Lonchura striata: one gene and its partners. The protein of the gene in region 1 interacts with the protein of each later gene in a biochemical or structural test. Links are inferred from orthologs where the notes say so. Each region holds a gene or a part of one and is shown in the gene's direction. Other genes may lie near its edges.

The links.
Region 2: the proteins of LRRK2 (region 1) and YWHAZ interact on a protein array, tested with the Homo sapiens proteins (3 studies listed by BioGRID and IntAct, with this or other methods). The link is inferred for Lonchura striata from reciprocal best matches to the Homo sapiens genes LRRK2 and YWHAZ.
Region 3: of the proteins of LRRK2 (region 1) and EIF4EBP1, one has a biochemical effect on the other in vitro, tested with the Homo sapiens proteins (3 studies listed by BioGRID). The link is inferred for Lonchura striata from reciprocal best matches to the Homo sapiens genes LRRK2 and EIF4EBP1.
Region 4: of the proteins of LRRK2 (region 1) and MAP2K7, one has a biochemical effect on the other in vitro, tested with the Homo sapiens proteins (2 studies listed by BioGRID). The link is inferred for Lonchura striata from reciprocal best matches to the Homo sapiens genes LRRK2 and MAP2K7.

The regions. Positions count from the first base shown.
Region 1 is NC_134607.1:58,874,536-58,882,266, forward strand, and holds the start of LRRK2 (leucine-rich repeat serine/threonine-protein kinase 2), read left to right. Parts: upstream 1-4,723; 5' UTR 4,724-4,798; coding exon 4,799-4,958; intron 4,959-5,071; coding exon 5,072-5,157; intron 5,158-5,172; exon of another isoform or gene 5,173-7,731. UniProt on the Homo sapiens protein: Serine/threonine-protein kinase which phosphorylates a broad range of proteins involved in multiple processes such as neuronal plasticity, innate immunity, autophagy, and vesicle trafficking.
Region 2 is NC_134603.1:21,496,069-21,503,825, forward strand, and holds the start of YWHAZ (14-3-3 protein zeta/delta), read left to right. Parts: upstream 1-4,752; 5' UTR 4,753-4,860; intron 4,861-7,008; 5' UTR 7,009-7,018; coding exon 7,019-7,312; intron 7,313-7,757.
Region 3 is NC_134634.1:4,354,147-4,361,156, forward strand, and holds the start of EIF4EBP1 (eukaryotic translation initiation factor 4E-binding protein 1), read left to right. Parts: upstream 1-3,995; 5' UTR 3,996-4,086; coding exon 4,087-4,234; intron 4,235-7,010. UniProt on the Homo sapiens protein: Repressor of translation initiation that regulates EIF4E activity by preventing its assembly into the eIF4F complex: hypophosphorylated form competes with EIF4G1/EIF4G3 and strongly binds to EIF4E, leading to repress translation.
Region 4 is NC_134623.1:2,354,767-2,362,027, forward strand, and holds the start of MAP2K7 (dual specificity mitogen-activated protein kinase kinase 7), read left to right. Parts: upstream 1-4,252; 5' UTR 4,253-4,310; coding exon 4,311-4,434; intron 4,435-7,261. Other genes in the region: uncharacterized protein LOC144247275, read left to right, coding at 14-106, 1,029-1,139, 1,400-1,896, 2,705-2,747. UniProt on the Homo sapiens protein: Dual specificity protein kinase which acts as an essential component of the MAP kinase signal transduction pathway. Essential component of the stress-activated protein kinase/c-Jun N-terminal kinase (SAP/JNK) signaling pathway.

The DNA.
Region 1 (7,731 bases):
GGACAACCCTTTCAAGGAAGAAATTTTTCTTAGCTTAGATGGTAAACCTCCCCTCACACAACTTGAGGACATTTCCTCTTGTTCTATCACTTGCTACTTGGGAGAAGACACTGATCCCCACCTGGCTACAGCCTCCTTTCAGGAAATTGTAGAGACCAATAAGGTCTCTCCTGAACCCCCTTTTCTCCAGGCTAAACATGCCCAGCTCCCTCAGCTGCTCCTCCTAAGACTTGTGCTCCAGACCCTCCACCAGCTTCACTGCCTTCTGGACTTGCTCCAGCACCTCAGTGTCTTTCTTGCAGTGAAAAGCCCCAAACTGAATACTGAATTTGAGGTGCAGCCTCACCAGGGCTGAGTACAGGGCAATCACTGCCCTGGTCCTGCTGGCCACAATATTTCTGATCCAGGCCAGGATGTCATTTGCCTTCTTGGCCACACATTGGCTCACGTTCAGCTGCTGTTGACCAGCACACCCAGGTCCTTTTCCACTGGTTAGATCTCCAAACACTCTGCCCTAGCCTTCAGCATTCCATTGTTGAGAGGTTGTTGGGACCAAGGTGCAGGACTCAGCACTTGACCTTGTGGAACCTCACACAATTATTCTTGGTCCATCAATCCCATCCAATGTCCTCTGCACAGCCTTCCCACCCTCCAGCAGATCAACACTTCCACTTTGGTGCCAACTTGTCACAGAGTGACAGGAACCACTTGATCCCCTTGTGATCCCCTTGTCAACATCATTGATAAATGTATTAGACAGGGCTGGTCCAAATACTGACCCTTGGAGAGCATCACTTGTGACCAGCCACCACCTGGATGTATCACCATTCACCACCACTCTCTGGGCCCAGCCATCAGCCAGTCCCCTACCAGCAGAGAGACTGCCTGTCTGAGCCCATCCATTTGGAAGCTGTGAACATGATTCACCTTCTCATACAGAGAGCAGTGAACAAGTATGGGCCTATGCACAGTACTAAATATTTTTAAAATTGAAGTCCCTGATAGCTAAAATGAGAGCTGAAGAGGTTGAGGTAGAATACCTGCTCTGCCACTGTTTTCTGAAGCAATGAATTCATTAACACCACAGAGCCCCTGCTGGTTATGACATAAAAGCAGATGGACCATTTATCAGCATTTTGTCCAGAGGTCAATCAAATAACTGTCATATCACTTCTGAACAGGCTCTGTCTGAGCACTTTCTGTCATTCAAATTAACAGAATCCCCTCTCCAGCTGCAGGGTTAAAACACACAGAATGGGGATGTAACAATGGAAAGAATATTTATTCAGAGTATTATGCCTTCAGTGATAAATATGCATGGGCTCTTCAAAGCAGATTTAAAAAAAAAAAAAAGGTGGTTATAAAATCTTGTGTAATTAAATTTTCATTCTCCTCTGTGGTGGAAGCATGATGAGACAAAACTGAATGTGGAAAAATGGATCTGACTGACACTGCTCTTGGTCAGAAATAGCTTGCAAAGGAGAGTCCCCAGGCAATACCTAACACAGCTTCAGCAGGCTCACCAGGTGGTGTAAAGCACTGCAAATAAAATAATGGCAGAGCAAGAAGGGGGTGGGGGAGGAACCAACAAAAGACAACAAAAAAGCCTCAGAAAACAAAACCAAACAAAAAGCATTCAGAACCTCCCCCACAAAAACCCAAACTCATTCACACATACATTCCCCCCCCCCCCCGACAAAACCAAGCAGAAAGAAAATTCAAAGAGAGTTCAGCCACTCAAAAGCCCAAATGAAATAGCAAGGATACAGGGAAAAGAACTGTTCCAGAAAAACACCTTCCTTCCCAGCAATGCAGAAACAACTTACGGTCTTTTCTTGCACACAGCCTCCCTCTCCTGTCAAAAAGATGAAGTTTCAGTTCTGAAACATACACTGCAACATACAATCCTTTTACAACTGACCAAGAATCATTCTCTGCATCCTAATATCTCACCCTATAAGCAGCATAGAACATTTAAATCAGTGTCAACACCAAAGCTAGGAAGGGTGAAGAAATGAGGGACCTGCCACACAGCTGATGGCAAAAGCCAATCAGAGATGGTTAATATCAAGGACGGACTGAATTCAAACACGTAGCAGAAAATGTGATTCCAAACATGAAAATGCGTGTAGCCAAAAGAGGGAAATGGACCCAAGACAAGAAAATTCTTTTTAGAAGAGACATTAGAGATGACTAAGAACAGAAGGCAAAAATGGCCCCTTTACAACCCAAATCAACCTGGAGGTCCAACCTGTATTTCATTTCAAAAACAAATCTTAGGAATGGGATGAGCCTTAGGACCAGACATGGGCCATAACTTGGACAAAATAAATTCTTGAGGGTCTTCTGGTGTGTTTTCTAGCAGCTTGCCTGTTCCTTTGAAGCCTTATTCCAAAAGAAGCTCCTATTCCAATCAACTTCTACATGGAGCTAAAACAAAATATAGTTACAGTAGACTCAAATCTAACATCTTGGTCACTCAGAAAGTTTCTCTAAGGTCAATGCATCCTCCATTCATACATAACATTACACTGATTTCAAGAAAATATAACAATATGCATTATACATTGGATGATGAGGCCAAGGAAATTGCTATGTCAAATCAGAAGACTGTATGTTGTGGAATTACAGCCTGCGGCCAAAACAGAAATGGAGTCCCTGTCCTTGGAGATGTTTAAAATAAAAATACTTGATGTGACACTTAGTGCCATGGTCTAGCTGACTAGGCGGTATTAGTCATAGGTTGGACTCAATGAACCCAAATGTCTTCTCCAACCCAGTTAATTCTGTGACTCTGTACAGTCTTTTCAAACTATGTGCATAACACAACACGCTACAGCTTACAGAGGACAGAAGACATGGAATAAACACATTGAGACCCAACAGAAAAAGAACAAATTGTTTAAATTACTTAAAGATCTGGGGCCCTTTGTTATGGTCTTCATGGTAAATCATCCACACCCACTGATGAAACTGAAAGAGGTCAGAATATATGAAACTTTTAGAGCAGAAAAATATTTAAGAGGTTTTCCAGAGGTAAAGTCCTTTGCCCTTTATTCATACTCTGATAATAATGACATTCAGACACTTTACTATCAGACCTCAATTTTCCTGCCAGACCTCAACACAAGACAGCTCAGTCACAACCTCTAATCACTTCTACAGATCATACAATAGTTTGGGTTGGAAGGGGACTTTGAAGACCATTTCGTTCCAACCTTCCTTCTGTGGGCCAGGATATTTTCCACCAGACCAGGTTGCTCAGAGCCCCATCCAACCTGGCCTTGAGCATCCCCAGGGATGGGGCATCCACAGCTTCCCCAGGCAGCCTGTTAGAGTGCTTCACCACCTCCACAGTAAAGACTTTTCCCCTAGTACTCAACCTAAACTTACTGGTTTTGAAGTTGAACCCATTTTTCCCATTCATTCTGGTGAAGATACATTAATATAGCTTCATCAGATTTTCCTAGAAAAATCCAGGAAAACTACAATATAGATGCTTACCAAGACTACCACATTCTTTACATTCTCCTCTTGTCTAACTAATTAATATGCTTCAGAAGACTTTTGTCAAACTCTACCAGACTTTCAGAGACTTAGCAAAAGCTGGCATCCTCTCCAACCAGCACTCCAGGGAACTGCTACCTGCAGAGGAATGAACCTTGGTAGACATGTTAGAAGATCAGTGTTTGAGACACCTGATCTAGTTGCTGTATTTATTCAGGAACCTCAGAAACACTACCAGAGTTTTTTATTCTTTGCCAATATAAGTGGAAAGAAGAGGAAACATTAACTCAGGCTCAAGTTGTCTAGCTCCAGAATCTATAACTGCAACAAATTATTTACTGAAAGAGCTACAAGGGATCCAGGACTTCAAGGCAGCCGTGAGCTGGAACAAGCAGAGAGACTTAAACTACACAACAGTTACTATCAAGGTGCACAGAAGATACACACTGAAAATTTCAGACAGCTGGTTTCAGGCAAGAGTATGTGGTGGGAGCCAAAAAGAACTGTGGTTGAGTTGACCCCATCTGGACACCAGCTTCTCAGCAAAGCCATGAACTCACCTCCTTATCTAGAGAGGGAGAAAAAACATTGCAAAAAGCTCATGGGTCAAGATAAGGACAGGAAGAGATCACTCACAATCACCATTACAGGCAAAACAGACTCAACTGGGGGAAATTAGTTTATTGCCAAACAAATTAGAGTAAGGCAATTAGAGATGGAAATGAAATCTTAAAACACCTTCACCTCACCCCTCCCTTCTTCCAAGGCTCAACTCCACACCCTTCCACAGGGTGCAGCCTTTCAGGAACAGATTACCTCAGTGTAGGTATCCCACAGGCTCACAGATCCCCACCCCGCAAACCCCACACGACCCAGAAACCAAAACCACCCGTGACACACTACCCTTGGCCAGCTTTTATACCGAGGCCCTGCCGGGCGGACCCGGGTCCAGCTCGGCAGCTCTATTGGGCAGCTCTTTCGTCAATCACCGTGAGGGGGCTGCCCGCGGCTCCGTTCTGCTCGCCGGGCGCTTGCGCGAGGCCCGCGGGCGTTTCCCGGGGGTACCGGGCCCGCGGGGGCCGGGCCTTGGCCGTGTCCGTGGAGCAGCGCCGTGGGAGGGGCCGCAGGCCGCGGCAGGGAGGGCCGGGTGACGGCGGCCGGGCGGCGGCACTGCGGGGCTGCAGCAGCGGGACGGGCCCGCGCCGCCCAGCCCGGCCCGGCCCGGCCCGGCCCGGCCCTGCGCTCGTCCCGCCGACCGGCGGATGGGCACAGAGAGGGCAGCGGCTCGGCCATGGCCAGCGGCGGCCCCGAGGAGGAGGAGGCGGTAGCGGGGGAGGAACAAGCCCTGAGGAAGCTGGTCGTCCGGCTCCAAAACGTCCAGGAGAGGAAGCGGCTGGAGACGCTGGTGCAGACCCTGAGCGACCTGCTCGAGCTGGCGGCCCGGCAGAGCGGTGAGCGCCCTGCCCTGCCCTGCCCTGCCGTGCCGTGCCGTGCCGTGCCGTGCCGTGCCCCGTCCCGCCCGCCGCCGGTCGCTAACGCGGTCTCTGTCTCTGTCCCCCCACAGCTCCCCGGCTCTTCAGCGGCAAAAACGTCCACGTGCCCCTGCTGCTGGTGCTGGATCTGTACCCGGGAGCGGCGGGCGTGCAGCAGGTCAGGGCCGGGCGGGCCGGGGCCGCTGCCCCGCTCCGGCTGCGCTCCCGGGATGAGCGGGCGCGCAGCCCTTCCCGGATAAAAGCTCTTGTTCCGCTTGTTGATTTCTCCTTAACTTGCCCTGTGTCTCCTGGGCCGCTTCATGGAGTGCTCCGAGCTGTAGAAGGGCGCTGTCACCACTGGCATTTAAAGGGGACAAGCGTTCTAACTTACTGCAGACGCCACTGGCTGCGTCTCTGTTTTTACCGGCAGAAGGAGGCGGAATAGAAAATAAATATTAAGCCACGTGAATGCTGTGTAATGTAGGGTTCTAAATTACCAATAATGTTATCTAATATAATTTTGATGTGTCCATGTTGAATTTTGCCATGGTTTGACAAACTTCCAAAATGCACGATTTTATACTATGAATTCATATATATGTAGCTATATCCTTGGGACTTGTGGTAGCATAGTTTTTTAAAGTCAGGGGGAATATTTTAGCTAAGAGTAAGTTCTGCAATTTAAGGTTCTGCCTACCTTCTCCTGTAATTTAACATTGGCCCATTTGGACTAGGTGTGGTACTTCCACAATTTGATGTTGTACTTATGGTACAGTTGCCAGACTTGTCATACAAAACAGCTCCTTCCTGGCAGGCATATATTAAATATCTGACTATACTATGCATAGAGGATGTTTATAAGCTCCAGATTTCTGTCCAACTCACTTGCTTCTTTTTTTTTAATTATTAAGCAGTAGGAATATGAAGCAGCAGTTATTTTCAAGATAAAGCTCATTAGTTTATAAAATCTCTGCCCAGAAGTCTGAACTTGGAAATAAAACATCAATCATAACAAGAAGTAGGTGTGAAATGACAGCACAAGTCTCTCAGAATTGCATAAGGAAGATAGTGATTAACTTCAATTTTAACTCTCTTAAAATACTTCATTCTAATGCAGAATTTTAAAATTAATTTTAATATTCTATCTGCCTACATTTGCAGTCATACAGTGTTTCAGTTTAGAAGTTCTGGACCTCCTTTGCATTACTATGTTGTGTTGCAGTGGGAAATTCATAGCCAGTGCAAAGCTCAAATCCCATTCCTCATATAGTGTCTTGTACACCTCTCCTTTCACATTCAGTTCTGGTGTTTACAAACATTCACACTATGTAAGTAGAGATCTGTCTTATTGCTTCATTCACTGCTATTTGTTTGCAAACTTTGTGAATAAATTCTCACTTTACAGTGCTGGCAAAGTAATGAGGTCCTGATTTCAGTGCAGTCTCTTGGCACTTTTAATTTTTTTTAATTGACTTAAAAGTTAATCACCCTCCTTTTTACTTTTGGCATTATAAAAAAAATTACATAAGAGAATAAACACAGTCAGAGACATACCTGAAGTGAGAATTTTCTTCACCTCCCCTCCTTAACTGGTTAAAAGTATTGTGGGTTGCTGCTGTTCCACTAACTTGTGCAGAGTTAATTTGCCTAGTAGATCAATATAGCAGGTTCTGGCCCAAGTCAGACTGCAGGCATAAACCCTGCAAGCTCCTTCAGAAATATGAAGGTACTGGTGTAGAAAGCCAGTAGTTCCTGTATATATATGTTTATGAATATAATTTATTTATATTTCTATTTATTATAATATTTAAGTAAATAAGGTAGTTTTCTGCCATTTCTCTGGCAATGATTGGAGCAGCTTAGAAACTCTAGAGCAAAATAAGAGTGCACTTGAGTAAAGAGCAGTCAATAGAGCTTTATTGTCTGACATAGATGGTGGGATCTAATGTAATATAAATTGTGTACTAGAACAAAAAGGGTCAGATTTTAAAATAATGAGTTTCATTGCTGCTACCAACTGTTCTGTATATAGGGACCTGTTTAAATCTTTATAAGGACTTTTTTTTTTTTTTCCTTATTTCCCTTCCTTGTAACCTTTAGGATTTCTGGTTTTTAAAAGACCCTTGCTTTCTTACTTGAACTTCAAACAGCTAATAAGCTCTCTGTTACCTCAGGTTGTGATTTGAATATTGTAAGCTAGATAGAACACATATCAGCAGATCGAATGTTTCCATTGGTCTTCTCTGGATCCACAGTTCTGATAAATGTTTGTCAATACTTGGAGTCCTAACAATCCAAATAAAAATGTTCAATGGGAATATCAAATTCATCAGAAACAGTTAATACAGAAAGGAATTTTCTTAAGTAATTAACAAGTTTTCATCAGATATTAAATTTTATAAGAACAGTTAGGATGCTCTTATAAAGTGGGACTTCTAAAATAAAATGTTTTCTAAGGAATAAGCAGTTTATCAGTTGATAGTCACCTCTGCAATGTTTTTGAAATTTGTACCTAATTGACTGTCACCAATAAACTCTATTTTGCTTGGAATATGGAAAATTAGGGAATTATATATCCTCATCTTGAACTGATAGTTCCTAAAACTATTTATTGTACTTACATTTAGTTAGGACTCGGTTACATGGACCACCCTGAATGTCCATAGTCAGTGATTTGTAGTCTCATGCAGGGCAAGGCAGCTTGCTATCCAAGGAAAATAAGTGTATGGAAATTGGCTCATAGTCAAGCTCA
Region 2 (7,757 bases), on another chromosome or scaffold:
GTGAGATCCAGCAGCTCCAACTACTTTCCACTCAATGATGGAAAATACTAGCCTTATCCACAATTCATGTTTTATCATTGGCACCAGACAGAGAGTCAGAATCTGACTCATTTTAGAACACTGGGGATGGGGGAGGGAACAAAAAAGAAAAGAATACTCTAAATGCATGCATCCTTCACTTAAGTCTTTCAGGATGGTCAACCTACAAGAGTGTCCCGAGGAAGAAGAGTATCCATTGATCCAAAAGCACAATCAGACTACAAAGAAGGTGAACAAAAGCTTCTGCAAAGCTTGAAGTTTGGCTTGCAAATCACAGGCAGTGGCCAAGGAAAGATAAGTACAATATATACCTAAAAATGTCAATAAATGTTTTTATTCCAGAAAGTAAAGGATCTTCCTTCTGCCAAATGGGAGAAAGAAATTCAAAACTCTACAGAAGCACATAAAGGCTGCATAAAAATACACACAGATGTATATAATCATGTAGCCAGAGAATCAGCCCAGAAAGGTATGTAACAAAATCACAACAGTCAGGATTTTAAGCAAGCAGCTTTTGAAAATGTAGCTCTTAACAGTAGAACACACAACAGAGCTGCCAGCTCTTCTTTTCTTCCCTCTGCAGGCCGTAAATTTGCAGAATCATCTCCTGGTCTCTGGGGAAATGCCCTTTGCTAGGCTGCCTTTGCTCATTTTTCTGTTCCCAGGAAAAAAAAAAAAGCAAAAAAAACCCCAAAAAAACCCAAAACCAACACAAACACCAACCAACAGTAACTCAGGACATCTCTATATTCTAGCAGCAGCCTGGTTAGTACCAAGAGTCACCACCACGGAGCCTTCCAGTCCTGACAGCATTCACCGACTTCTAAGAGCTATTCTTACGGATTTCCTGGGTTATTGCTCTTGCTCCTGTCTATGTGAGGTTGACCCCCAAAAATCATGACATACTCTTCTAGCATGGGGATAACCCAATCTTGTACTCATCTATTTTTAATTAATTATGTTTAAGCACAAGAAAGAATAACTAAGCACTTGTGGAGAAAGGATGAGAGGGAAGAACTAAAAGCTGGTTTAGAGGGGAAATAAAATATATCTGGAGTAATTTTTTCCCCTCCCCATCCCTCCATTTCTTCTTCTCATGTAAGAAAGTAAAGTAAGAATGAGTGTAAATAAACACGCATATAGGTACTTTCATATGCAAATGTTTCTAACTCTACAAATGAGTTTTTGCTGCTGGCTGCCGCCTGACAGTCTGAGATAGTGAAAGTGCAAGTCATCGAACAAAAAGCTGTGAGGAGAGCAACAGAGAAAAAGCATCTGAAGAAGAGGAAAGCTGCTTAAAGCCTTGGTATTTAAGAGACCGAGTTCCCTGGTCAAAACTGCAATATGCAAGACAAAATACAACATTCTACAGTGGGGGAAAAGTGCAGGAAATGTAAGAATAAAAGACAGCAGGCGAGTATCTGCTTAAGAGACAGCATATGCAAAGGTGAGTAACATCTAAATCCTTGGATCTGCTCCAAATGGCAGCGTTCATGAAATCCAGAGGAGTGGAAATGGTGTTTGGCAAAAATAGCCCACTTAAAGGGGAAAGAGTGCAGCGTCTATTGACGCACGGGGCTGCTAGCAAACACAAACTATGGTTAGTGGCAATTCGGGTTGTTGCAGGACATGTTCCGTTCCCTCCAAAACCAAAAGTAATGGAAAGGACAGAATGGAAAGGCTGATGTTTTCCTTCCACAAAACTATTAACGTTGCCTACAGTATTGCAGCCTACTTCACACAGGATTCCCCTATATTTCCCGGAAATATCAAAATGCAATACACATTTGTGCTTCATTCTAATGCAGGCTCCAGTCTGCAGGGTTCTTTATGCACTTTTAAGGATTATCATTTTTCTTGCATCAGTTAATTTTTTTTATCATGTTACCAGAAAATATTCAAGTACCTCTGAAAATGTATGCTCTATATTTGGGTGGTTGCCATTTCAATGAGACTTTTCTACAAAATAAGGGTTTTTAGCTTATGTTAAAAATGAACTCTGTAACATAACTTGAAACAAGATGCAGCAAATGCTGTGCCACCATACCATCTGTGTTCAAGTACAGCTCTAAAGCTCTCCTCCTATTGCTTCCTAAAGTGGAAAATAATGGTAAAAAATAAAAACATATAAAATGAAGCCTCGTGTATTGGAATAAATTATGAACCTGAGCCTTACAATGTTTGTTCCAAAAATCTCCCTCTGTACCTGTATAGGCCAATGAAGTATCATTTGGAAACCAAAGAGTAGGGTTATATTCTTCACATTTAAATTAAGTAACAGTGATGTTCTCACCTGACACAGCTAGTAAATTCTGGTGAGCTTCACTCTGCACATTATTGCCTCTTTTGCTTTTTTTAGCTCTTTTCACAAGCTTTCCAACAATATCCCATAGGAACTTGAGTGAAATTCATTAAACATTGGAGTTAATTGAAGGAACCAGAAATTATGAGAAATATATTTTTTAAAAATATCTTACTGTTAATGTGGAAGATGACAGAGGTTGATGGGCAAAACTTATATGGAGTACAAACCCCAACATACATCTTAGGCCATGAGGAAGGGTAGTAAGAAATCAGAAACAAACTCTGCAGGTAAAACGCCACCATGGAAAAACTAACTGCTCTTTATATGATATAATGAAAAAAAAAAGCCTAGTTCTTAAAAAGTCAACTTTGACAGGAGGATTTTAAAGCAGGACCTTTCTGATATTCAGTCAAAATACAGGATCACTGTTTTGAAGATGAAAGGGACGGCGTTCTCATCACTTTATCTCACTCACAGGTCCACAGTCACTTTGTCACTGCAGGGTGCAAGACCACACTGGGAAGCTGTCCTGAACTGCCTGGAAAAGAGAGAGAGGCGTGCAGGCAAGAGCAGGAGGCATCTGCGGGAGAACCTGAAGATGCTGTTATCTCTGGTACCGAACCAACCTGCTCCCGGCCACTCTAGAACAACAAATACATCCATAACTTCTTCTTGCTTTCCAGAAGGAAGCGCCTCACTCCTCCTACGCTACTCCCTCGCTGTGTCCCACCGACAGACTTTTATGGCTGTAGACATAAGTACAGGCCCGTCCTGCGCCGGGCTGCTCCCGCGGGAGCCGTTCGGGGATGAGCCGAGCGAGCCCCGCCGGAGCCGCGCCCGGGGCCGCCGCCGCCCGGGGCCGCCGCCGCCCGGGGCCGCCGCCGCCCGGGGCCGCCGCCGCCCGGGGCCGCCGCCGCCCGCTCCCGCCGCCCGGGGCCGCCGCCGCCCGGGGCCGCCGCCGCCCGGGGCCGCCGCCGCCCGCTCCCGCCGCCCGCTCCCGCCGCCCGCTCCCGCCGCCCGCTCCCGCCGCCCGCTCCCGCCGCCCGCTCCCGCCGCCCGCTCCCGCCGCCCGCTCCCGCCGCCCGCTCCCGCCGCACGGCCGGGACGCGGCCCGGGCACGTGACCGGAGCCGACTTTCCGTGCGGTTTGCGCCGAACGGGAACGGGGCGGAGAGCTCCCGGGTCTGCCGCGGGCACGGCAGCCTGCAGCAAGCCCCGGGGAGGGAATCCCGCTCTGGAGATGCTCCTGGCCCATGGCACTGCCAGATACAACACCTGGCCCTTTTCAAAAAATATTTCGACGTGCTTTCTCCATCTTATTACTCTCCATTTCATTTCTAATCCTGTGAGACAGTGCTGATCCCAGAGCCCAGGAGAAAGCAGGAGAGGTCAGGACACTGCATACTTGAGACAAAGATTCAAGCTGGGGGATGTTGTTCAGAAAGGGGACAAGGGAATGCCGACTTCCAAGACCTTTAGGAAACAGGGTGGGATTTTTTTTTTTCCAGAAAATGAAAAAGCATTTCCAACAACAGCAATATTTATTAATACTCTTCCTACTCCTGTCAGCACGTTCTCATCAACGTTTGGATGGTGCTGTCCGAAATGCCCGCTTGCCTTTCCAAGGGAAGGGGCTTCCAGAGGGACCGTCCTGCGCCTGCAGAGCCGCTGAGCGCCCATCCGCCAGCCCCGGGGGGATCTCCCAGGGCGCTGCCGCCGTCCCCGGCCTCCCATCCTCCTCTGGCCCTCTCGTTTTTAACGCCCAGCACGAGTCGCGCTCCCGGTGCAGGATGAGGCTCCGGGCGCGGCTCGATGCGGAGCGCTCCCGCGGCCGCGCGTGTGCCGGGACAGTCCCGCTCCCCCCCAGCGCCCCGGGGCTCAGCCACCCGCCACGCACGGGGCTCGGCGGGGGTTACGGGGCGGACTGGGCGCTCGGGGCGGCACAAAGCCTGGAGAGCCCGCCCGGGGTGCGCGGGGGGCGGCGGTGACATCCGCGCACGGCCCGCGGCCGCACGAGGAGACGGTGCTGCCGCCCCCGCTCCGTGCCGCGGGCGCGGGCACCGCTCCGCCGCCCCCGGGCGGGTGCGGAGCCCTCCCCGCCGGGCCGGGGCGGGCGCCGCGGCGGGGGCGGGACGTGGGGGCGGGCCGCGGCCCCGAACCCGCGGCGCCCCCGGGACCCGCGGGCCGCCCCGCTCGGCTCGGCGGTGGGGCGGGGGTGCAGGCGCGCGCCCGCGGGCGGGGCCGCCGCCGGCTCTGGGCGTGACCGCGGGCGGGGGAGCGGGGGGGGGAAGGTTCGCGCGCGCCCTCGCGCTCCGTTGCCATGGCGCCGCTTGACGTCACGGGCGGCGCGCGGCCCGCGCGGAGCGGAGCGGTGATTGGCGGAGACGCCCCGTGCGCGGCGCCGGGAGAGGGAGGGAGGGAGCGAGGCTGCAGCGCCGCGAGCGCCAGAACCGCACAGTCCGCGCCGGCCGCCCGCCCGCACCGACGCACCCGCGCCCGCCCGCCCGCCGCGCACAGGTAACGGGGCCGCCGCCCGGCACCGGCTCCCCGGCACGCCGCAGGTCGGGAGCACTGAGCGGGGCGGCCGGGGGACAGCGCCCAGCCCGCCCCGCTCCCCCCACCCCCGGCGCGGCTCCACGGGGAGGGAGCGGGGCGCGGGGGCCGCTGCGCGGGGCGGCGGGGGCCCTTCTCCGCCGGGGAAAACGGGGAAAGCACCGGCGGAGGGGGCGGCAGGTGAGGGCGACCCCGCGCCCGCAGGGAGGGGAGCGCCGCCCCTGCCGGGCGGGGGCCGGGGCGCGGGCGGCGGCGCTGCCGGGTGTGGTCTCCCGCCGGGAGCCCTGCCCGGGCGCGGAAGAGTCGCCGCGGCCGCGCTCCCTTCCCTCCCTCCGCCCAGGCCCCCCCCTCGCCCATCCTCCCCGCCCCGGCCGAGGGGTCCGGGCGAGAGCGGCGGCTCCCCCGGGACTAGAGGGGGCTCCTCCTCCGCCGCTCCCCCTCCCCCGCGCCGAATCCCCCAGGGATGGACCCGCGGGCTTTCCCTATTCCGGGGCGGGGACGCAGCATCCTCCCCCGGGGGCGCTGGGCGGAGGGGAGCGGGATCGGGGCGGGCCGGGCTCCGGCGCCCACCCGCCGTGACAAAGGCGGCGGGCGCGGCGCTCGGTGTCCCCGCGGCGGGCGCGGCGAGGAGGGCGGGAGGGAGGGAGGGAGGGGCGGCCGCAGCGCCCCGGGGCCGCCCGCCCGCCCCGCCCTCCGCTCCGCCCGCCCCCGGGCCGCTCCATTTTCTGCTGTCACCGCGCTCCCCGTGCCGGAGCCGCGGCAGCGCCCAGCCCGCGGGGGCGGCGGCGGCCCGCCCGGGGATGCTGCCGCGGCAGCCTGCGGTGCCCCGGGGACCGGCGGCGGGGCCGGCGTTGTGACCGCGTTTGCCCCGGTCAAGCCGAGTGGTAGATAACCACCACCAAAAGCTCGCTTTAAAATGGCTCCTTAACCCCGCCGCGCGCGGTTGGGCAAGTTCTCCAACGGGCGTTTGCACACAAACGAGTTTGTGCCTCCCCGTTGGGGACAGGAGCCGTTAAAATTTGCAGTCACCTGGAATGTTAAAATGTGCTTAGTTTATTCCCAAAGATGGAACACAAGCCATGCCATTGTTTCTCCTAACGTCACATAAAATGGCAAAAGTCTTAGTGGTTAAAAATGAAAATGCTTGGTTGGGGTGTCTGGAACGTACAGAAATAGATAAAGCACTCATGACCAAAACTGGTTCATGCTTTAATAATCTTGTTAAACTTCGAAGGATAATGTATCCCCTAAGCACATTCCTCCAAATGATCAAGTTAGGGTACACAGAAAGATGGGGGGTGAGGCAGAAGTATTTTTGCTTCCTGTGCCAAAAGAAATTTCTCAATACCTCTGTGCTGATAAGACAGGTTCTGAAGTTTTTCTGCTAGGTTGTGCTGTCTGAAATACTGATGTTGAGGTCATATTTTTAAGTAGTAAAATTTTCTTTTGTCTGTGAAAGCACAGCCTCCCAGGCAGAGCAGCAATATCTGATACAGAACATCCCATAATGGGGATTCCCATTTTGGGAAAGGGAGTTAGCATTGTGGGAAGGTGTACAACTCACAATTTAGATATTTGTTGCACTATGACTTTTTAACATCCAGTGTGGGATTTGATTTGCAGGTGTTTATGTGAAGTACCTCTGCATGTAACTGATTCTGTTAAGGTTCAGAATGCTGCTTGATATTCTTTGTCCAGCCTTTATTTGGTTGTCTCCTGTGGAAAGCTTACTATTGGATATTTTCTTTGTCAGTTTTGCTACACTGATAATGTAGCCTTATGAAAAAGTGGTGGCAAAGAATTAGGATCGTTTTTGTGCATAAGATAGAAATTATTTGGTTTCAGTTCACCTTTGGATGCTTTTGTTTGTGTTTATTAAAATAACATACTTAAAAGTTTACAGTTTTCAGGAGGAAGCAGTGGTTTTAACTCTCTACTCCATGTGTCCATGTGTTTGAGCAGCCAGTGCTGCTAGTATGCCTTGTGTGCTGGATTTCAGTTGTGTCTCTTCCAGTTCCAAATTAGAGAATACACGGTGCTCTGCCTTTGAAGTTTAAACACCTTTGTCCTTGACCAATGTCTGAATAATGCCTCGCTATTTTTCCTCTTCAGAAATATCAACATGGATAAAAATGAGCTGGTGCAGAAGGCCAAACTGGCTGAGCAGGCTGAAAGATATGATGACATGGCAAGTTGCATGAAATCTGTGACTGAGCAAGGAGCTGAGTTGTCCAACGAAGAGAGGAATCTTCTCTCTGTTGCCTATAAAAATGTTGTAGGAGCCCGTAGGTCATCTTGGAGAGTCGTCTCAAGTATTGAACAAAAGACGGAAGGCGCTGAGAAAAAACAGCAGATGGCTCGCGAATACAGAGAGAAAATTGAGACTGAGCTAAGAGACATCTGCAATGATGTGCTGGTGAGAAATAATGAAACTGTTGATCCATTTTTACTTAGAGTTGCAAAGTAAATGGTGCTGGGCCCTCTGGGACTGTTTTTAGTCTGTCAGTAAACCTGTGGTCTCCTATGCTATTTCTGTTTAAAAAAATGTCTGAATTTTTCTTTCCCTCTAATATGCTGATTATTTATATACAAATTATAGTTATGAATGCTAATAAACTTGGAGGCATGTAGAAACATTGTACATAAAGTAGTAGTTAAGAAAGCTTAACGTGTTTCCCTGAGACTGAACTATATGCAGGTTTAGTTTGGGGGTTTCTCCTACCCCAGTGCCCCTTCTGCCTTAAAGCAGCATATGTATCCTAGATGTCTTTGGTTTCTGCAATTTTAATGTGCTGCTGTGGTTGTAAGAGGTAGTTCTTACTCTACGGAAATTGTGCCCCTCCCTGGGTAAGATGATGTAA
Region 3 (7,010 bases), on another chromosome or scaffold:
GAGTCCTCCTGCTGCCGTCAGGGCTGCCAAGACTTTACAGATGTTTTCACAGCTCCTTTCCCGTTGTTTCTGGTTTTCCTTCAGCTGTTGCTAAAGCAAACTGGGGTGGGGGAAGGAGGGAGAAGTTTGCAATAACACGGATCTAGATTTCACAAAAAGTGTGGGAAGTATCGAGAAAAAACAACAACAGAAATAGCCTCAGAGAGAGCTTTCAGGCAGGGCATTCCGAGGGAGAGAGGCGCTTCCATGTGGCACTCCCAGCTGTGCCCCAGAGCAGGGTGGGAGGGAGAGGGTCCAGCCCCGCGGGGGGGAAGCTGACAGGGATGAGGGAGCGAGTGCCAGCAGCGCCACATGGAGCCGCCTGCCAGCCCAGCCACACCACAGGACAGCGGCCAAGCTGCCTCGTGCCACCCGGATCTCCCCCTGCCCCTCCTCTGCCCCCTGCATGCCCGGGCACCCTCTGCCCAAGCTGTGCCCAGCAGCACCCATCCCTGCCCCAGCCCCCATGTCCCCTCCTGCAGCCGGCACAGGCTGTGTCTGCCTCCAGCCCGATGTCTGCAGGCAGCAACGAGGAGGAGGAGGAGGAGGAGGAGGAAGAGCCAAACACTGCTCCTCTGGCTCTGGCCATGGGTACCAGGGTGAATCCCGTGCCACTGAGGCTGTTTCCAGGACCCAGGGCTGCGTTTTGGGGTGCTGAGCACCCCCAGCAGCGCCGGGGACGTCCCAGACAGGGTTTCCTGCCGAGGGCTGGGGCCAGCGGAGATGCCCTTCCCAAAGGCAGGATGGGCTTGTTTATGGGGCAGCCTTTATCTGCACGAGCAGCCTCGGGCGGGCAGCAGGGATGTGGCTTCGTCCGGGTCTGTCCTTATCGCCAGCCGCCATCGGAGGGAATGTAAACACAGAGGATGGGGTGGAAATGCCGCGGCACAGGGACATCCTCACTGCCGTGGGGTCCGTCACCATCCCCGCCCTCACGGGGCTGCAGTGGGGTCCCCAGGCCCCCAAGGGGGGTGGGCTGCAGAGGGGGCTGGGGATGAGCCTTCCCGCGCGGGAGACACCCAGACAGGAGGTGATGGATGGGGCGAGATGAAAGCTGCCAGCCCGCCAGGCAGGAGTTTATCCTTCCCTCGGGTTGTTTGCTTCCTGTCTCAGCAAACCTTCCTGTAATCACAGTCCAGTGGGCACCAGTGGGGCGCAAGTGGGGCCAGCGATGGCCCCTGCCCCTGCTGCCATCCCCCAGGGCTGCTCTCACACCAGGGACAGGGACATTTCGTGACTTATGAAACACATTTTCTTCCCCAGGACCTGCAGTGGAGTGAATTCTTCCCCAAAAGCCAGCCCTGCTCAGCTCCCAGCGATCCAAACCAGGTCAGAAGCAAAGGCAGTGCTGGTGGAGGGACAGACACCTCGGAGAGCACTTCTGCTCCCGATTTAGAAGGCAATAATGCGATAACTTCATATCACATGAGGATGACAAAGGGCTTTCCAGCCCTGGGAGCTGCCCGTGGAATGGGCAGATAAAATGCCCTGGAGAGGAGCACTCTGCAACCGGAGGGTGCTGTGGTGTGGGTGGGAGAGTACCCAAAGCCTCTTCTCTGCCTGCAGACAGCTCCCGGGCAGCTGGAGCTCCTGTCCAGGGCAGGAGGATCCCTGTCCCTGTCCCTGTCCCTGTCCCTGTCCCTGTCCCTGTCCCTGTCCCTGTCCCTGTCCCCTGTGTGCTGCCGGGAGCACCGAACTCCAGCAGGCACCGGGAGGGTGACACCCTGCTCTGCCCCAGCCAGGATGTGCCCTAAGCCCCGACCTTCCCCCGTCCCTGACCCCATAACTGTTCTCCAGCAGGAGGAGGAGGAGGAAATGGCAGCGGCCGCCTCTCTGGGTTGGGGGTCACTGCTGATGTCATTCCATGCCGGAAATGTTATTTTCCTGCCCCAGTGCCCACTAATCGATTCAGCAGCTGGCACAGGGCGAGGGCTGCCTGCTTGGCACCACAGCCTGCCTGGGCCCCTGGGGGTGCCTGGGGGCACCACAGCCTGGCTGGGGTCCCACAGGACCTCGGGGGCAGAAACACCCGTGTCCATGGCCAGCCTGGCAGGACGCTGCTGCCCCGCAGAAAACGCTCAGCGACCCCCGGGAGCCCCCAGGGCCCCGGGGCGGGACCGCGGCTCCGCGGGATGAGCCTGGCCCCGGGCTGGGGTCCGGAGCCGTGCGTGGCTGCCGGGCTCCATCTGTTGGAGCCGGGGCCATGGTTTGGGCAGGCCGGGGTTGCTGTGTCCCACCAGAGGAGCAGCCTCACGCCCCGGTCCGGGACAATCCCTGCCACAGCCTCGGTGACCCCGTGGTGCTGCGACACGGGCTCAGCGCTGCCGAAACGCTGCTGGCATCTGCCGGCGGCTGCGCCGGCATCCGCGCTGGAAAACATCCCGGCTCCCGGCATCCCGGCACCCCGGTATCCCGGCATCCCGGCATCCCGTCTCTCATCTCCCGGCATCCCGGCATCCCGGCTCCCAGCATCCCGGCATCCCGTCTCCCGTCTCTCGTCTCCCGGCATCCCGGCATCCCGGCATCCCGGCATCCCGGCATCCCGTCTCCCGTCTCTCGTCTCCCGGTATCCCGGCATCCCAGCATCCCGGCTCCCGTCTACCGGCATCCCGGCATCCCGGCATCCCGGCATCCCGGCATCCCGGCATCCCGGCATCCCGGCATCCCGGCATCCCGGGGTCCCGGCATCCCGGCATCCCAGCATCCCGGCTCCCGTCTACCGGCATCCCGGCATCCCGGCATCCCGGCATCCCGGCATCCCGGCATCCCGGCATCCCGGCATCCCGGCTCCCGGCTCCCGTCTACCAGCATTCCGGCATTCCGGCATCCCGGCATCCCGGCATCCCGGCATCCCGGCTCCCGGCAGCCCGGCCGTCAGCAGATGTCAGCACCGCACCGGTGTCTGGTGAGGGTCAGCAGAGCCTGTGGCCACGGCCGGGGGAGCAGGGAACGATGAAGGGCTTTTTCTGGAGGGTACCCGTGAGCAGGGTGGTCCCAGGGATGCTCGGAGGGGCTTCACGCCAGGTTTCATCCCTGGGTTCCGCAGCCCCCCCCATGCCAAGCCCAGGGGTCCCGCCCGGCCGACCCTGCGCCCCTCCCAGCGCACTTCGGCTGCTCTTTAGATCTCCTCTGTAATGAAGTATTAAGACAAACCCTATTTCCCATAGCTCCAGCCCCACCGGAGCACCCTCGGGGACACAGCGTGGGGGGCGCCGGACCCGTGTGTGGCCCCCCGGCTCCTCCCGCATTTGTTCCCGGCCCTCGGGGGAGGCAAAGCCATTTGGGATGGGGGCAGCCGGGCGGACATCTGTCCCCGCGGCGTTGCCACGGGAGCACCCGGACCTCCCAGAGCGGCCACCCCGCGTGGGCAGCGGCGGCCACGAAGGGGCAGCGCCGCCAACACCCCCGGGGGCTCCGCGGGGTCCCCGCCAAGCACGGGGCAGCGCGACCCCAAAAGCGGGGAGCACAGGCCAGGGGTGTCCAGGGCCAAAAAAGGGAAGAAAAGGGGTGAAAAAGGGAGAAAAAGGGAGAAAAATGGAGAAAAGGGGAGAAAAAGGGAGAAAAATTGAGAAAAATGGAGAAAAGGGAAGAAAAATTGAGAAAAAGGGAGAAAAGGGGAGAAAAATTGAGAAAAAGGGAGAAAAGGGGACCCGCCAGGAGTCCCGCCCATGTAGCGCTAAGCCCCGCCTCCTGTCACTAAGCCCCGCCCCGAAGGGCCCATCTGTATTAGCATAGCCCCGCCCCTGTCGCTAAAGCCCCATCCCAAAGAACACGCTATATTAGCATAGCCCCGCCTCCCTGTCACTAAGCTCCGCCCCGAAGAGCCCATCTGTATTAGCATATCCCGCCCCTGTCGCTAAGCCCCGCCCCCTAAAGTCCAACTGTATTAGCATAGCCACGCCTCCCTGTTGCTAAGCCCCGCCCCTTCCCGGCCACGCCCCGCGGCGGAAGGGGCGTGGCCCTGGCCGGAAGCGGCGGGCGGGCGGCGGCAGCGCCGGTGCCGCTCCCGGTGCCGCTCCCGGTGCCGCTCCCGTCATCGCTCCTGTCATGTCGGGCCGCTGCTGCCACGGGCAGACGCCCAGTCGTGACATCCCGGGCCCCGGCAAGTGCCTCGCCCTGCCCGACGAGGCCCCGCTGCCGCCCGGCGACTACAGCACCACGCCGGGGGGCACCGTGTTCGGGACCACGCCGGGCGGTGAGCGCCGGGCCGGCGGGGGCCGTGCCGGGGGGAGCGGGGAGGTCTCACCGCGGGAGGGACGGCTCGCTTTGAGCGAGGGTTTGCAGGGCCGGGGGAGCGCTCCCGTTCTGTCCCGGGACAAGCGCCGGGAGCCCCCGGCCGGTGCCGGGGCTCGGTGGAGTTCGGGGGACCGGGGCAGCCGGACAGCGCCTGCCCGGGGGTGCGGGGGTGCGTGCTGGGGAGCCTGGCAGGGAGCAGCCCCGGCCTCTCCATGGTTACTGATTAATTCTGAGCGCTGATATTTGCTGTTTTCCCTGGCAGTAATCCCTGGGACCTTTTTCTTTATTTCCAATCGCAAACCGCTCCGGTTTCTGGAGGCGCGGGGCTCTGCTGCTGCAGCTCGCCGTGGGCTCCTTCCCTCTCCGTCTGCTGCAGCCCCAGAGCCGCCAGGAGAGGAGCCTCCTGTAGGGATTTGATCCTCGACTAAGAGAAATAAACTGGTTGTGCCCAGCGTTCCTCTGTCAGACAGGTTTTGTGTCCCCAGCACTCCTTGGCTGTTCATTTTTGGCAGTTTGGCCCCAGAGAAGTTCCAGGTGATGGCACAGGGTCAGCGCGGGGAGTTCCAGCGGCCTCTGCTGCCCCTGAGCCGCGGCTTGGGGCGATTTGGGGATGATTTTCTTTCCACACCTTGTAGAATCTCCCCGCGGTGCCGCTGCAGATCGCTGCATCCCTGCCCGGCTGGATGCGAGCAGCAGGAAGGCTGAAGCCAAAAGGACGAACCGTGGGAGGGCAGGGAGGGGGTGTTGGTTGTCCGATCCCCCGCAGGACTCCAGGGGTTGAACGCGGGGAGAAGGAAGCGGCACTGCTGACTCACCGGGCTGTGTGTGCAGGAGAGCCGAGCTTTGGGGCTGTCCTGGCCCTGCCTTCCCTCCTTGGGAGCAGCGAATCGCTCAAGGCTCCAGCAGCACCTGCAGGAGTCGTGCCGAGGTGTGGGAGCCTTCCCCAGCCCCGGGTCAGGCGGCAGAAATGAAATAACGAGCGACTGGCGCGGCAGAAATGAAATGAGCAATTAGTGGTGCGCAGTAATGAGCCCTCCGGGGCTGTCAGCGCTTTGTCCCCGCGGAGTTCCTGAGTGCCTGGAGCAGGAGGAGAAGCTGGGCCGCGTTTGTGACCGGGGTGTGCCCACCTGGCAGCGCCCGGGGCCGTCCCCGCCTGCCCGGGGCCGCCGTGTCCCGTGCTGGGGACACCGTGTGCTGCTCGGCCCTGCTGCGGTGCTGACGGGAGGGAGGCTCCAGAGCTGCTGGAGGACAGACAGCCGGGGCTGTGTGTGTGCCCTGAGGGGCTTGCAGGGAGCAGAGCATCCCGTGCTGTGTGTGTTTTCCTGCTAACACCCCCTGGCAGCACCGGGGAGCTGCGGGGAACGCGGCTCTGGGTGGGTGCAGGAGTGTGACAGCCCAGGCCGGGTGTCCTGCCCCAGCCGGGTGTCCTGCCCCAGCCGGGTGTCCTGCCCCAGCCGGGTGTCCTGCCCCAGCTGAGTGTCCTGCCCCGAGTGTCCTGCCCCGAGTGTCCTGCCCCAGCCGGGTGTCCTGCCCCAGCCGGGTGTCCTGCCCCAGCTGAGTGTCCTGCCCCGAGTGTCCTGCCCCGAGTGTCCTGCCCCAGCTGGGTGTCCTGCCCCAGCTGAGTGTCCTGCCCCAGCTGAGTGTCCTGCCCCGAGTGTCCTGCTCCAGTTGGCCCCTGGCTTTCAGGAGCTCTGGGCGTGAGGCTGTTGGAGAAAGGTGGAAGCTCCCAGTTCTGGTACAGAGCTGCAGTTCTAGGAATCCCTGTCCTCCTCCTGGAGCTTCCCAGGAATTTTAACACCCCTCTCCCAGGCAGCTGACTGTAGGGATGGATCGTCCTCCCGAAAACTGGAGCTCAGAATCATCAGTTAAAAGCTTTTTGGTGTTTTGAGAACTCCTTGGCAGAACTCAGCTGTTGGACGTGTTGTTTTATGTATTTATTGTATATTTACAGTGTTCAAACCACAGGGAGTTGGTTGCTCCGGGACAGATGGTGGCAGGAGCTGTTTGCCCACACGTGTGTACTTTAGTTAATGCTTTTGGGGAGGGCACAAGGACAAGTCCCTTTCCCTCTGGCTGGAACGGGAGCAGAGCAGGGCACACCTGATCCAGAGGGGTGTGCAGCCTCCTCCTGTGAAGCAAACACTCTTTTCCAGCACTTGCTGGGTTAAGGCTGTGGGCTGTTTGGAGGGATCCCTTTTCTGCCTGTGGTTTTTGAGCTGTTTCCATGAAATTCCTTTATAAGGAACAGGGTGTTCAGTGGTGTTCCTAGAAATCCATGCCTGGAGGCTCAGCGTGGTTGGCTGGAGCTGGGTGGTTCCTGGTTAAGCCTTGGAACATTAACCATCTGTGTAAGCCCTGAGCAAGGTATGTGTAAGTGCTGCTGTGCCAAGGGAAGTGTCTGTGCAGGAATTCCCGCTGGGCAGAGCTCAGAGGGACACGGCTCTGCCCCGTCCTGTCCCCTGGTGTGTGTCCACCTGCAGCTTTCAGCCATCAGTGGGAATTAAATTCAGTTTTCTGTTTGCTCTGTGGGCTGGTGTGACCTTGAGCGAGGTGGAAGGGGCTGGATCTGCTGCTTGCAGCCCCTGCCTGGGGTTTGGAGCCCTGTGCTGCCTTGGGGCAGCAGCTGGCAGAGTTTGGGTACCAATGTGTCACCTTTAGTGGCAGGTACAGTGTCAGCGCACCTGGAATTCTGGAAGGGTAACCCAGGCTGAAGTGCTGCCTCACAGTTATCACTT
Region 4 (7,261 bases), on another chromosome or scaffold:
GGTGTCCCCGCAGTGTCCCCGGCGCTGGCGGGGGCTGAGCCCTCGGTGCCGCTGTCCCCAGGCCGGCCGGGCCCCAGGCCGCCGAGGGGGCCCCGTTCAGCTGCACGTGAGTCAGGGGCCAGTGTCCCCTGTCCCTTTGTGGCACCCAGCGTCCCCTGGTGTCCCTCTGTGTCCCTTTGTGGCACCCAGCGTCCCCTCATGTCCCTGTGAGTCACCTGTGTCCCACCCAGCGTCCCTCTGTGTCTCTCTGTGTCACCCATGTCCCAGCCAGTGACCATCGTGTCCCCCCACGTGTCCCCATGACCATTGTGTCCATGTCCCCTGGATGTCCCCTGTCCCTGTGAACATGTCCCTGTGTCACCTCCTTGTTGCTGTGACAACCTGTCCCTACAGTGTCCCCATGCCAGTGACCGGGTCCTGGTGTCCCCCTGGCCCTCCTGGTGTCCCAGTGACCGTGTCCCCACGGTGTCTCCATTGTGGTGACTGTGTCTGTGTGTCCCTACACTGTCCCCGTGTCCCCGCAGTGTCCCCATTGTGGTGACCGTGTCCGTGTGTCCCCACACTGTCCCCATGTCCCAGTGACCGTGTCCCCACGGTGTCCCTGTGATGGTGTCCCCGCAGTGTCCCCATTGTGGTGACTGTGTCTGTTTGTCCCCACACTGTCCCCGTGTCCCCACGGTGTCTCCATTGTGGTGACCGTGTCCGTGTGTCCCCACACTGTCCCCATGTCCCAGTGACCGTGTCCCCACGGTGTCCCCATTGTGGTGACCGTGTCTGTGTGTCCCTACACTGTCCCCGTGTCCCAGTGACCGTGTCCCCACGGTGTCCCCATTGTGGTGACCGTGTCTGTGTGTCCCTACACTGTCCCCGTGTCCCAGTGACCGTGTCCCCACGGTGTCCCCATGTCCCAGTGATGGTGTCCCCGCAGTGTCCCCATTGTGGTGACCGTGTCCGTGTGTCCCCACACTGTCCCCGTGTCCCAGTGATGGTGTCCCCGCGTGTCCCCGTGACGCTGTCCCTGTCCCCAGGGCCGGGCGCAAGGACAAGGCGTGGACCCGGTGGAGTGGTCAGTGCGGGACGTGGTCGAGTACTTCACCGAGGCCGGCTTCCCCGAGCAGGCCGGGGCCTTCCAGGAGCAGGTGGGGCCACCCTGTCCCCTCTGTCCCCTGCTGTCCCCTGTCCCTGTGGCTGTCCCTCCCTGTCCCCTGTCCCTGTGGCTGTCCCCGGTGTCCCTCGCTGTCCCCAGGAGATCGACGGCAAGTCGCTGCTGCCGATGCAGAGGGCCGATGTGCTCACGGGGCTCTCTGTCCCTGCATCCCCCCGGGTGTCCCCTGTCCCTGTGGCTGTCCCCGGTGTCCCTCGCTGTCCCCAATGTCCCTCGCTGTCCCCGTGTCCCCAGGAGATCGACGGCAAGTCGCTGCTGCTGATGCAGAGGGCCGATGTGCTCACGGGGCTCTCCATCCGCCTGGGCCCCGCGCTCAAGATCTACGAGTACCACGTGAAGCTGCTGCAGCGCAGCCACTTCCAGGACGAGGAGCCCCCCCCCGGAGCCCTTCCCGGCCTGAGAGACCCCCCCAGAGCCGCGGGGACACCCCCAGACCCACGGGGACACCCCAAACCCGTGGGGACACCTCGGTATCTGGGAGGGCTCCTCCCTCCCCCCGCTGCTGCACACAGAGACTTTGGGGGTGGGCGGGGGTCATGGGGTTCCCACCTCACTTTGGGGGTCCCACCTCTCTTTGGGGGAGTCCCATCCCTATTTTGGGGGGGGTCTTGCCTCTCTTTAGGGTCCCACCTCTCATTTGAGGGGTCCCGCCTTGCTTTTGAGGGGGGTCTCATCTCTCTTTTGGGGGAGAATCCCATCTTTCTTTTGGGGGTCCCACCCCTCTTTGAGAGGTCTCTCTTTTGGGGGGGCACTGCTCTAGGGGGACACCCCTCTTTGGAGGCCCTGCCTCTCTTTTGGGGGGGGTCTCACCCTGTTTTTGGGGGCGCTTCTCTTTGGGGGGGTCATTTCTCCGGGGGATCCCACCCCCTCTTTTGGGGGGACTTCTCCTTGGGGACCCTTCTTTTGGGGGGGCACTTCTCTTTAGAGGGGTCCTCCCCTCTCTTTTGGGGGGATCCCACACCCTGAGGGGGTCACCCCTCTTCTGGGGGGTATCATCCCTCTTTTGGGGGGTCACCCCTCCTCGTGGGGGGGGTCGCCCCTCTTGTGGGGTGCCTTCTCTCTGGGGCGCATTGGGGGTGGGACACCCCGCTCCTTCTGGGGTCACTCTCTTTTGGGGGGGCCCCTCTTGGGGTGGGGTCACCCCTCCTTGAGGGAGCCCCCTTTTTAGGGGATCCCCCTTTTCTTGGGGGGGATTTTTACCACGGGGGGAGGGGGTTGGGGGGGCTCTGCCCGGAGATGTTTTAACCTTCCCCAGCCCGTGCCCCCCCACCCAAATTAGGGTGCGGCCCCCCATCCCTTGGCCACGAGGAGGGGGAAGCCCCCCTAACCGTCCCCCCCCCCCCCGCAGTCTGTGCCCCCCCTTTCCCCGGGCCTGGCTCGTTTTGGGTTTTTTTAAATAAAAACGAAAAAATTAAAGAAATATTAAAATCTCGGGGTTTTGGTGGGGTCCTCCCGTCTCAGAGTCCCCCAGAAGGGGCTGGGGTGGAATGGGGGGGGCAAGGGGGCTGCTGCGCATGCGCGGGTCCTCCCGCCCGGCAGGGGGCGCCAGGCCCGCGCCTTCCGCTCCGCGCATGCGCTGTAGAGAACCATCATCTGCGCATGCCTCCTCCTGCTGGAGACCGGCGCCAATCGCGGCCCTACGGCGGCCGGCCGGGCCCAAAAGCCGCGCCCCTTAAAGCAGCTTCAAAAACAGCCTCCGACCCCCCAAACTACCCCAGAACAGCCTCAGCACTCCCAAACTACCCCAGAACAGCCTCAGCACCCCTAAACTGTCCTCAAACTACCCCAGAACAGCCTCAGCACCCCTAAAATGTCCTCAAACATCCCCAAACTGCCCCAGAACAGCCTCAGCACCCCCAAACTACCCCAGAACAGCCTCAGCACCCCTAAACTGTCCTCAAACTACCCCAGAACAGCCTCAGCACCCCCAAACTACCCAGAACAGCCTCAGCACCCTTAAAATGTCCTCAAACTGCCCCAGAACAGCCTCAAGAGCCCCCCAAACTACCCCAGAACAGCCTCAGCACCCCTAAAATGTCCTCAAACTGCCCCAGAACAGCCTCAGCACCCCAAACTACCCCAGAACAGCCTCAGCACCCCTAAATGTCCTCAAACATCCCCCAACTGCCCCAGAACAGCCTCAGCACCCCCAAACTACCCCAGAACAGCCTCAGCACTCCCAAACTACCCCAGAACAGCCTCAGCACCCCTAAAATGTCCTCAAACATCCCCAAACTACCCCAGAACAGCCTCAGCACCCCCAAACTACCCCAGAACAGCCTCAGCACCCCAAAACTGCCCCAAACATCCCCAGAACAGCCTCAGCACTCCCAAACTACCCCAGAACAGCCTCAGCACCCCTAAAATGTCCTCAAACATCCCCAAACTGCCCCAGAACAGCCTCAGCACCCCCAAACTGCCCCAAACATCCCCAGAACAGCCTCAGGCTTCCCTAAAGAATCAATAACTGCCCCCAAACCAGCGTAAAGTGCCCGAGGAAGGGCCTCAAACTCCGCTAAAGCCACAAATGCCCCAACGCTCCCGATGCGCTTCGAGCCGCTGTGGAGCATCCTCTGCACCCCCCCCCGCCAGTGCTCTCCCGGGCCCCAGGAGCCCTAAAGAGCCCCCGCTGCCCCCACAGGGCCCGATGAGATCGATCCCCCCCTCCATGGCTCCCTACGGCGGCCGGACAGGCCCAAAAGCCGCTCCCTTCCTTCTTCCCCGCCCTACGGCGGCCGGCGGGGCCGAATAAACGCCGCGTCCCTCTTCCCTACGGCGGCCCAAAGGCCACCTGTTCTGCGCATGCGCAGTAGCCTTTCCTGGTGAAGATGGCGGCGTCCCGTATTCCCCCTTTCCGTACGGCGGCCAGGGGGCCAAAAAGCCGCCGTGCCCTCTCCACCCTCTCATCCCGCCTTCCTACAGCGGCCAAAGGAACCCAAACCCCCCTTGTCCGCCCCTCAGCTCTCCCCAATCCACAGCAGCGGCTGAGGCGCTTAACCGCCCCTGTCACCCCGCGCATGCGCAGTGGTGGAACCGGGGCGAAGATGGCGGCGCCCTCTGCTCCCTCCCTCCGTACGGCGGCCGGCGGGGGCTCCAAGCCCCGCCCCGCGCGGGCCCCGCGCATGCGCCACGCGGGGGGGGGAAGATGGCGGCGTCCTCGCTGGAGCAGAAGCTGTCGCGGCTGGAGGCGAAGCTGAAGCAGGAGAACCGCGAGGCGCGGCGGAGAATCGACCTCAACCTCGACATCGGCCCCGCCCGCGCCCGCCCCAGTGAGCGGGGCCGGGGGGCGGTGGGAACGGCCCGGGGAGCGGGGCGGGGCGGCCGAGGGGAGGCCGCGCTGGGGGGGGGGGAGGGAAGAGGGGCCGGGAGGGGAGAGCGGGGCTGGGGGAGAGCGGGGCTGGGGGAGAGAGCGGGACAGGGAGGGGAGAGCGGGGCTGGGGGAGAGCGGGGCTGGGGGAGAGCGGGGCCGGGGGGAGAGCGGGGCCGGGGGAGAGAGCGGGACCGGGGGGGAGAGCGGGGCTGGGGAGAGCGGGGCCGTGAGGGGAGAGCGGGGCAGGGGGAGAGAGCGGGGCTGGGAGGGAAGAGGGGCCGTGAGGGGAGAGCGGGGCTGGGGAGAGCGGGGCTGGGGAGAGCGGGGCGGGGGAGAGAGCGGGACCGGGGGGGAGAGCGGGGCTGGGGAGAGCGGGGCCGTGAGGGGAGAGCGGGGCAGGGGGAGAGCGGGGCTGGGAGGGAAGAGGGGCCGTGAGGGGAGAGCGGGGCTGGGGAGAGCGGGGCTGGGGGAGAGCGGGCTGTGGGAGAGAGCGGGGCTGGGGGAGAGCGGGGCTGGGGGAGAGCGGGGCTGTGGGAGAGAGCGGGGCTGGGGGAGAGCGGGGCTGGGAGAGAGCGGGGCTGGGGGAGAGCGGGGCTGGGGAAGAGAGCGGGGCCGGGGGAGAGCGGGGCTGGGAGGGGAGAGAGCGGGGCTGGGAGGGGAGAGCGGGGCTGGGGGAGAGCGGGGCTGGGGGAGAGCGGGGCTGGGAGGGGAGAGCGGGGCTGGGGGAGAGCGGGGCCGGGGAGAGAGCGGGGCCGGGGGGGAGAGAGGGGCTGGGGGAGAGCGGGGCTGGGGAGAGAGCGGGGGCCGGGGGAGAGAGGGGCTGGGGGAGAGCGGGGCTGGGGGAGAGCGGGGCTGGGAGGGGAGAGCGGGGCTGGGGGAGAGCGGGGCTGGGAGGGGAGAGCGGGGCTGGGAGGGGAGAGCGGGGCTGGGGGGAGAGCGGGGCTGGGGGGAGAGCGGGGCTGGAGGGGAGAGCGGGGCTGGGGGGGGGAGAGCGGGGCTGGGAGGGGAGAGCGGGGCCGGGGGGAGAGACGGGGCCGGGGAGAGAGCGGGGCCGGGGGGAGAGAGCGGGGCCGGGGGAGAGAGCGGGGCTGGGAGGGGAGAGAGGGGCTGGGAGAGAGCGGGGCTGGGGAGAGCGGGGCCGGGGGAGAGAGCGGGGCCGGGGGAGAGCGGGGCCGGGGGAGAGCGGGGCCGGGGGAGAGAGCGGGGCCCCCGGGGGGAGAGCGGGGCCGGGGAGAGAGCGGGGCTGGGAGGGAGAGAGCGGGGCTGGGAGGGGAGAGAGGGGCTGGGAGAGAGCGGGGCCGGGGGAGAGAGCGGGGCCGGGGGAGAGCGGGGCTGGGGGAGAGCGGGGCCGGGGGAGAGAGCGGGGCCGGGGAGAGCGGGGCCGGGGGAGAGAGCGGGGCTGGGAGGGGAGAGAGCGGGGCTGGGAGGGGAGAGAGGGGCTGGGAGAGAGCGGGGCCGGGGGAGAGAGCGGGGCTGGGGGAGAGAGCGGGGCTGGGAGGGGAGAGCGGGGCTGGGGGAGAGAGCGGGGCCGGGGGAGAGCGGGGCCGGGGGAGAGCGGGGCCGGGGGAGAGAGCGGGGCCGGGGGAGAGAGCGGGGCCGGGGGAGAGCGGGGCCGGGGGAGAGCGGGGCTGGGAGGAGCATTTTGGGGTGGTTGGGGCGGGTTTGGGGTGTTCGGGGCAGTTTTGAGGTGGTTGGGGCAGCTTTGGAGAGTTCGGGGCAGTTTTGGGGTGGTTGGGAACGTTTGGGGACATTTTGGGGTGGTTTGGGGCAGTTTTGGGGTGGTTTGGGGCAGTTTTGCGGTGGTTGGGAACGTTTAGGGACATTTTGGGGTGTTTGGGGCAGGTTTGGGGTGATTGGGGCAGTTTAGGAACATTTTGGGGTGTTTGGGGTGTTTGGGCAGCTTTGGGGTGTTTGGGACCGTTTAGGGACATTTTGGGATGTTCGGGACAGGTTTGGGGTGGTCGGGACAGTTTAGGGACATTTTGGGGTATTTGGGACACTTGAGGGGCACTTTTGGGTTGTTTGGAGCAGGTTTGGGCTATTTGAGGCCCTTCAGGGACATTTTGGGGTATTCGGGGTCCTTTAGGGACAGTTTAGGACAGTATTTGGGACAGGTTTGGGTTGTTCAGGGCCATTTTGGGGTGTTTGGGGCAGGTTTCGGGTGGTTGGGGCAGGTTTGGGGTGGTTGGGGCAGCTTAGGGACACTTTTGGGTTGTTTGGGGCAGTTTTGGGGTGGTTGGGGCAGGTTTGGGGTGGTTGGAGCAGCTTAGGGCCATATTGGGTTGTTCGGGGCCATTTTGGGGTGTTCGGGGCAGGTTTGGAGTATTTGGGGCAATTTAGGGACATTTTGGGGAATTTGGGGCAGGTTTGGGGTATTTGGGGCAGCTTAGGGACACTTTTGGGTTGTTTGGGGCAGTTTTGGGGTGGTTGGGGGCCTTTAGGAACATTTTAGGACAGTATTTGGGACAGGTTCGGGGAGTTTGGGGAGTTCAGGGCCATTTTGGGTTGTTTGGGGCCATTTTGGGGTGTTCGGGGCAGGTTTGGGGTATTTGGGACAGTTTAGGGCCATTTTGGGGTGTTTGGGGCATTTTAGGGACATTTTGGGCTGTTCAGGTTTGTTTGGGGTTTTTGTGGGGGCGGCGTTCGAGGATGTTCAGGAAGATTTGGGGCAGTTTGAGGGGTTTGGGAGGATCTGGGGACATTTTGGGGTTGGCTTGGGGTATTTGGGGCAGTTTAGGGACATTTTGGGGCAGTTTAGGGACATTTTTGGGCTCTTAGGGACATTT